2 linked regions of the Oryctolagus cuniculus genome follow. The protein of the gene in region 1 interacts with the protein of each later gene in a biochemical or structural test. Links are inferred from orthologs where the notes say so. Each region holds a gene or a part of one and is shown on either strand. Other genes may lie near its edges.

Region 1 (4,485 bases):
TTTTTTTTTTAAGATTTATTTATTTTACTTGAAAGTCAGAGTTACACAGACAGAGCAGGAGAGGCAGAGAGAGAGAGGTCTTCCATCCGCTGGTTCACTCCCCAATTGGCTGCAACGGCTAGAGCTGCACCAATCCAAAGCCAGGAGCCAGGAGCTTCTTCTGGGTCTCCCACGCGGGTGCAGGGGCCCAAGGCCTTGGGCCATCTTCTATTGCTTTCCCAGGCCATAGCAGAGAGCTGGATAGAAAGTGGAGCAGCCAGGTCTTGAACTGGCACCCATATGGTACGGCAGCACTGCAGGCAGCTGCTTTACCCACACCCTTTCTAACCTCACCTGATAACGTGCAATGCTTATCTTACTCAAAGCAGAAATGAGCAGATCAAGTTATCAAATGGGGAAGCTGAGTCCCAGACGGGAGCAACGAACCATTCATTCAAGCCCATGTGCTGGTTTGGGAGCCAAAAGATGTCTGAAAGCTCTAGGACTGTACCACTCAGAGACAGGGTCTGGGGGGAGGCGGGGACAAGGGGGCATCAACTGCAGGATGCAAGAGCAGAGCGATGCTTCCCCCCACGGTCTCCAGTGGACCCCACTGGCAGGGTGTTCGCCCCCTCACCCCGGGAAAAGCCCCCCACCACTGCGTTTCTTCTGTGGGCTGCTCAGGGCAGCACCGCTCTCTCACACCCTCATTCCCAGCCCCAGGCCAGCAGGGGTCTCAAGGGGAGCGGAGCATCCACAGCCCCTCACACAGACTAAGACACCACTGAGCAGTTTTCCACCTCACTGTCGCTGAACTTGAGAGCACGGACTACCCATAGAGATCATCTCCCCATCCCCCTAGTGCCACCCAATGTACAGATGGAAGATCAAGGCCGGGAACCAAGAAGTGGCCTTGCAGTGGTGTGTCCGTAGCAACTCAGTTCCAGGAAGCAAGACTCCACTTGAACCTTCCGGGGGTCCGGTTACTCACTCCTGGCCGGGCTGAGACTCTCTGAACGACTTTGGGGAGTGCAAATGCCACTAGTACTAGTTAGACCTGCTCTATCTGCAGTCTGTAGGAATCCACCTGGCTCATGGAACGCACCCAGTAAACTATGTATAAATGAAGGAACGTTTGGCGGCTAGGGAAGTGGCAAGGGGAGCCAGCCTGCAGCTTAAGGACCAGGGGACAGGGGCTTTCTCTTCAGATCCACGAAAGCCTAAAACTCTACCATGTTCATGCAGGGCTCATTTTGCGGTAGGCACTGAACTAGGCGCTGGGGGGATCAATGAAAAACAAGGCGGTCTTGCCCTGCCTTAGGTGGGTAGGGGCTGGGGTATTTAAGGGCCGGAGAAGCAGGCGGCTGCACACACTACACTTTCCCCAGCCTGCGCCGCGCTGAGATGGTCTCAGTGCCCGGAAGGCGGTGAGCACAGCGGGGCTGCAGCGCCGGCCGCCCACCGGTCACAGGCTGCGTGCAGGAGAGATTTCTGCTCTGAGGTCACAACCCCACCCCCAGATTCCCTGCCGACAAAACCCTGCAATTCTCTGACGCTGAAGACTCGGCTCGGATTCTTTTTCTGATTTTTCAAGGTCCCACGATGCCGACAGCCCCGAATCCTAAGCCGTCAGTCTGCCCACGCCCCCTGGAGCCAAAAGCAAGAAAGGAGGAATCTGCAAGGGTCCCCGCCACCCCTCTGACTCAAAAGCTCTCTGGGGGTAGTCAGCGCCCCCGCTCCTCCTCGTGGGGTCTGTGGGGGCGTAACTCAGATGCCGGGGACGTCGTGAGGAGAAGGGTGTCCCAGAGTCGGCGTTGACAGAGCCGGGACACGTGACAGCCAAAGCCTCCCGTTCTGCGGTCTCCGCGGCCGGGCAGGTCACGTGACGTGGAGCAGGGCGGGGGGGAGCTCATGGGGTGATGTGAGATGCGGGTCTCTGCGATTACGTACTCGTGACGCATTGCCACCCGCTTTTGGCTGCCAGATTTCCGTTCAAAGAGGCGACGGTTCCGGACTAGGGGGCGGGTTCTCACGTCCAGGCACTTTCGCTTCCGTTCGGGGCAGAGCCGCTTCCGAGCCCCGCCTTTCCCTCGGGCGAGGAAGAGACGCCACCTCGTGCGCATGCCCGGAATTGTCTCAGAGGGGCGGGGCTGAGGCTCAGGGAGCAGGAGGGGGGCAAGAGAAGGGAATTCCAACCTGTGGAACTTTGGGGGTCCCGGAGGTCGGCTGCTTGCCCTTGACTGTGGCTTGTGCATGGGGCTGAGCCTCCGGCGGCTCGTGGGGGCGTTGGGGCCCGCGGGGCGAGGCAGGGGAGTGTCGCAGTGTAAGTGGGGTACGGGAATTCCAAACTTAGAACCTTGAGGCCCTCGGGGCTCCGGCGCCGGGAGGAGGGAGCTCGGGCCGCCATGCGAGACAGGACCCACGAGCTGAGGCAGGTGAGATGTCGGGACAGCAGGGTCGGGGATGGACGGGCGGGCTGGAATGCAGGACTCCCAGGGTAGGGAGGGGTGGTTGGGGGCCAGGAAGGAAAGTCCCGGAAGCCTGTGGATCGTTCGGGAGCGAGAGCCGCCGCGAGGAAGTGGTGCCAGTGACTGTGGCCCTGGCAGGGGGATGACAGCTCGGACGAGGAGGACAAGGAGCGGGTCGCGCTGGTGGTGCACCCGGGCACGGCCCGGCTGGGAAGCCCGGACGATGAGTTCTTCCAGAAGGTAAGGGGGCTGGGGTCTGCAGCCTGGACGTGCGAGGGGGCGGGCGGACTGAGGGCCAGCGCGGGCTGGAGTGCCCCAAATTTCAGCCCCTCTCGGTCGCCCTCCCCAGGTCCGGACAATTCGGCAGACTATCGTCAAGCTGGAGAATAAAGTCCGGGAGCTGGAGAAGCAGCAGGTCACCATCCTGGCCACGCCCCTTCCCGAGGAGAGTGAGTGAAACCCCGGGTCGCAGGACGCATGCGCTACCCGAGGGATTGTGGGGGTTGTAGTTCCACGCAGGTGGTGGCCCCGGGGTGGTTTGCTGAGGCAGGGGCTCCCCCAGGAAGTTGTGGTCTTTTCTTGTTCAGGCATGAAACAGGACCTGCAGAACCTGCGCGACGAGATCAAACAGTTGGGAAGGGAGATCCGCACGCAGCTCAAGGGTGAGCTCCTAGGAAGGCGGGCAGATTCTTCCTCTGATCCTACTGATCTGATCCTGGGATAAGTGGAGAGTGTGTGGCCCAGAGAGGCAAGTGATATATGTAGGTCACACAGCAGGCCTGTGTTTAAAAAAATATATATCTGTCTGTTGGCTTCCACGCCGTGTTCCACAGCCCGTGCCTTTATTTACGATGAAACTGTTGAGTCCTGTAGTTCTTGGTGCCTGTCCAGCGTGCGTTCTTTGCAAAGGCAGATGGGGTTCTGCATACCTGTGGGAGCTCACTGATAGAATTCAAAGAGAAATAAACTTTCTCCTGTCAGAGGCTTAGCATGGGTCATTTTACAATGAAGCTGCGTTTCCCTTACAAATCACGTGGAGACAGGTCCCTCCTCATTGTGTGGCTGGGGGAGGGACCCTGTTCTTGTGCCCTGGTCCCCGGTTTCCAGAAATCACGAGTCAACACGCCCCTACCTCCTCCCTTCCTGCCTTGTGTCTTCCCGCAGCCATCGAGCCCCAGAAGGAAGAAGCTGATGAGAATTATAACTCGGTCAACACAAGGATGAGAAAGACTCAGGTGGGTTTGCTTCTCCTAGAACCAGGGCATTTTCCTAAGTGTTTGATCAATCGCGAGACGACAGATGTCTGTTGAAGGCAAGGCCCTTGGAGACCACAGGCCCCAACCCTTCTTCAAAGGGGCAAACAGGCGTGGAAGAAGATTCTCACTCAAGGTCAAGAACGCAGGTGTCCTAATTCCCAGTCCCTTGCACCCCCTGCTTTCTTCTCCTCTCCATGAGGAGCTGCTGTCCCCCAGGGTGTGACCCAGCCTTGGCTGTTTCCTCGGGAACCAAGATGGGAGCTTGAGTTGAGTAGGGGACAAAAGACATTACTCATGCAGGCGTTGGTGGCTAATGGCTCTTCAGGGAAGGAGTTGGAGAAGTCACAAGTGCCTGGTCAGTTTCCTGCCTATGTGACTGGGCCATCCTCGGCCTGCAGGCAGAATTGGAGAAGTCAGGAATAGGAAGTGCCCTGGGCGGGGACATCTTAGTAAGGAGTTTTCAGGTCATCTGACTGCTGTCCCTGGCGCCCAGCGAGGAGTGGTTTGGGGGTTCTCGGAGGTCAGGGTTGTTGTAGGTTGGGCCCAGAGCTCAAAAAGACCCCAGATGGAAAATGAAGATGGTTGAGGGGCAGCTGTTGGCCAGGAGAGCAGGTGTGTCTCTCAGGGAGGGTCTTGGAGGAATGAGCAGAGTGGAGCCCTCAGGAGAAGGAATAAGGTGGGACAGAGGCTCCAGATGGGGCATTGAAGGGGTTGCCTGTGGTGGCCATGGGTGTGAGAGGCCCAGACAGACCTGTCGCATGTAGCGGCCTGGTGACGTCTGC
Region 2 (3,913 bases), on another chromosome or scaffold:
TCTCTGATATGGGTTGCTAGTTTTCTTCACCAGCACCTTAACCACTGGACTCAACTCCTGGCTCTTTTTCAGTTTCAGTTTCACTTCTCTAGTTCAGAGGTCTAACACTTATGGAGTGATTTACATATATGTTTCCTCCTAATTCCTGCACACACAGTGGATGAGGTCCCTGAAATCTTGTCAGAAGTTAATATTTTGATTGAAAAAATATTAACTCGCTTTCTCACTTGAGAGAAACTCTTCAAGAAGGACAAGTACTTGAATATGTATCTGCACACCATGGTCTGTGCCCATTTCAGCTGTCATGAGTCCAATCTAGTGTTCTTTTTCCCTGAGCCCAGACACCTCCTCCAATCTGTCTGAACTCATCACTCCTAGAAACTGTTTGCCAGTATCTGATGGGGATCTGGCATCCCCATTTCTGTCTGTGTGTATGATGGTTCTTCATTTGATGAGCTCTTTGATGTTGAGCTCCTTTTCCTTCCACAATCCCCTGAAGTGTTGATTTGCACACTCACTTATTTGCACACTCACTTATCGCATTCTTGAAAACAAACTAGATTGACATCTTCAGAAAAGAAAAAAAACTTCCAAAACATAAAGAATTCTATATATGTGATATCTATCTATCCATCTATCTCTGCACTTGAGGGTTTTCCAAAAGAGCTTTATTTATTCAGCAAAAATTCTCTAGCACTACACTCTCATTTCCTCCAAGTATCCAATACTGAGTAAACACTGACATTTTGTTTTCCCAGTCATTTGAAAAGCATTGCAGAGGCAACAGATTCCTGATAAGCTGATTTGTATTCTTCAGTCCCACAAAAGATAACACAACAGGCTCTTGTTTTCTAAATGCACGGTCCCCTTAGCTTCGGTTACTATCTAAGTTTTTGGAATGACAATTGCTACTGTACAGCTTAACATGAAATTGTTTTTAAGTGATGTTTTTGTTCCCTTAGGCTGGAAATGTGCTTATCAGTTTAATTCTAGGTATGCCTTTATTCTTGGAGGCATAAGCATACATGTATTCATGACAATATAGATGAAAAGAAAAATGGAAATGTAATTAGGTTTTGTAATTAGACAACCAAGACATCTCATTGCTACTCTCCTTTAATGGTCTTAAAAGCTGTTTTTAAAATTCCTTCATTGAACTTGTAGTTATCTCAATTTGATGACACAGCTTTTGAAAAATTAATCAGGTTGGAGTATATAACCCTAGCAACCCAGAAGTATGATTCGTCCTTATGATTATCGATCTATTTCTTAGATACACTAAGGTCAATTTTGCCAGCAGTAATGACACAGAATTGTTCTGTTTTCCAATCCATCACCTCCCATCCCCAAAGAGACATCGTCCTCCCTGCTCTTTGCCTGGGATTGGCAATTAGCATGCCCCCTCATTGTAGAGACTGGAAAATCAGAGAGCAGAGAAGTGAAATGCTTTCATAACAAGTGAGTTGTAGGATGGGAGAGGAACTGAAATGCTTCAGTACTTATAATGCCACTGTACTGATGTAACTTTTTTCACAGCTTCTATGAAGTAAATATGCAAACCAAGAATAGACCGTGGGCTACCTATGACCAGATAGCCACTGATAGGAGAACATGATCCATACCCATTGCCAATTATTGCTGCTACTGCTGCTGCTGCTGTTTTCCTCAAGGAAGAAAACGGATTCCATTTTCTAGCTTTATCTGTTGAGGATGCTTAAAAACAGAAAAGTGCACATATCTAAAAGGAAGCAGGTGCTATCTCAAGTGACATTAAATCAGAGTACCTAAAACATAAGCTAACATCCTGTTTTACTTTCTCCGGGGTTTCGCTGGTGTCTGAGTAAGTGATGATGCTGGGCTGTGTCCCTGGACACTCAGAATCAAACAGACCTTCAAACTCATCTCATCATGTTGGAATTTCAAACTATTTTGAGTATCATTTTGTTCATTTCCTTCCACTCATGTCTGCTCAGGGTGAGCGGCAGCAGTCTACCACAATGCATCTTCTTGAAACAATGCATTGTAATCTCTCTTTCTCTCTCAAATTCCGTTTCACATAGTCATTTCTCATGTTCTGTTGGAAACCCCAAAAAAATTCATTCCACACTGTCATCCCTTTGTCCTAACCAGAACAACTCGATCGTGTTGAAGAAGGCATGAACCATATCAACCAAGACATGAAGGAGGCCGAGAAAAATTTAAAAGATTTAGGGAAATGCTGTGGCCTTTTCATATGTCCTTGTAACAAGTAGGTACTGGGTACCAGCTCTAATCTGTGGCGTCCAGTTTTCTTTCTTTCTTTCTTTTTTTTTTCTTTTTAATGTCAAAGTGAATGTCTGAAGTTTTGTCTTTTTTTTCTTTGTCCTTTTCCATCTGCTTCATTCTGTGGGGATAAAATACTTGTGTTTAATCAGAACAACTGGAACGCATTGAGGAAGGGATGGACCAAATCAATAAGGACATGAAAGAAGCAGAAAAGAATTTGACGGACCTAGGAAAATTCTGCGGGCTTTGTGTGTGTCCCTGTAACAAGTAGGTGCTGCCTGCCTGCCTGAAGCTTTGGTTTCCCAAGGCCCATCTCCAAGCCTTGACAAGCTCATTCCTGCCAGGCTCATGGGCAGGATGAGCATGTGGCATGCAGAACAGATCAATACCGTCTCCAATGCATTCATCTCATAGCATAGATAATATTAGTGGGAGTTACTGTTGATGCATTAAAAATCAGGCATACTACAGTGAAAGCTTCACTGTCAGCAACTTTTATTGATTAACGTTTCAACATTTTCCAGAAAGTGTACCTTAAGACAGAGAAAAGCCTCAAGAAAGAGGCACCCAGGGAACTATATTTTTCCCAACCCCAAGAGCCAAAACTGCGGATTTAGAAAAGTTGGTAAGTGAGTATGTTTGGAAGATTAGAAACACATGTATCAAGATTTATTTTTTCAGAAGGAAAAGAGAGATAATTTGGCCCAAGCCAGCATTCTTTAAAAGAGAATGACAGAGATTCCCCTATTTCTCCTGCCCACCATTGCCAAATTTAGTCATGAGATGCTGCAACTGCACCCGATGCAGAGGCAATGAGCACTTTGGCAAAAAGGGCTCAAGCTTTACCCAAATTGGACCCATCCCTCTGAAATTCTTCCCCTTGGAAGATCTAACAGTACACTGGCTGAAATGTTGAAATGTGTAGATTTTGCATGCACGACATCACAAAACATTCAACTGTTCTCAAGGTTCTGCAACGCTTATTTTGGAATGTAGCAGAAATGTGACATGTGGTTATAGAGGTTTGCAAGAGAAGGAACCTGAAACTGAGGGTTCTAGAAGATAGTCTCACATGACTGGTAGCAAAAAACAAAATGCATGAGTGGATTGTCCAACATGCATTTGGAAAATTAAATTTGTTACCCGATCTCCCTCACCCCTCCCTCTTCCCCTTTCTAAAAGAAGCCTTTTTTCCTAAAAGCTCTCCTGGTCCTACCTTTATAGAATAGAAATTGATGTCCTTTTTAGTGGATTATATGACCATTCGCATCCTTTAAACTTTGAGGCTGATTTAAAATATCCCACTTCCTGTTTAGGAGGGGGAGGGGCTCAATTTGCAAATAAATAGAAAATTTGTTTTTAAAAGAATGATCTACAGTAAATCCTGACTAACTGGAATCTAGTTAATGGGATCCTTGACTGCGCTTTTGCTTCCTTCCACGTTTAACAAAAGCAAAGAAAAAAAATCACAACAGAGATTATAAATGATTTTTCTTCCAGCACAATTTAGTTTGCAGTGACTTACTCAGTCTCCATCCACTTACAGCCTCCACGGCTAAGAATACCAAATGATAACAGGTGATCTTCAGAGGAAAGGCCATTAGACACATCAGAATAAATCATAACCAAGGAGAGATTTGGTTATGTC

Evidence for each region.
Region 2: the proteins of STX4 (region 1) and SNAP25 form a complex in vitro, tested with the Homo sapiens proteins (3 studies listed by BioGRID). The link is inferred for Oryctolagus cuniculus from reciprocal best matches to the Homo sapiens genes STX4 and SNAP25.

The regions. Positions count from the first base shown.
Region 1 is NC_091450.1:6,132,226-6,136,710, reverse strand, and holds the start of STX4 (syntaxin-4), read left to right. Parts: upstream 1-1,521; 5' UTR 1,522-2,384; coding exon 2,385-2,414; intron 2,415-2,585; coding exon 2,586-2,687; intron 2,688-2,796; coding exon 2,797-2,896; intron 2,897-3,034; coding exon 3,035-3,109; intron 3,110-3,611; coding exon 3,612-3,682; intron 3,683-4,485. UniProt on the Homo sapiens protein: Plasma membrane t-SNARE that mediates docking of transport vesicles. Necessary for the translocation of SLC2A4 from intracellular vesicles to the plasma membrane.
Region 2 is NC_091442.1:35,230,589-35,234,501, forward strand, and holds part of SNAP25 (synaptosomal-associated protein 25), read left to right. Parts: intron 1-2,130; coding exon 2,131-2,248; intron 2,249-2,414; coding exon of another isoform or gene 2,415-2,532; intron 2,533-3,913.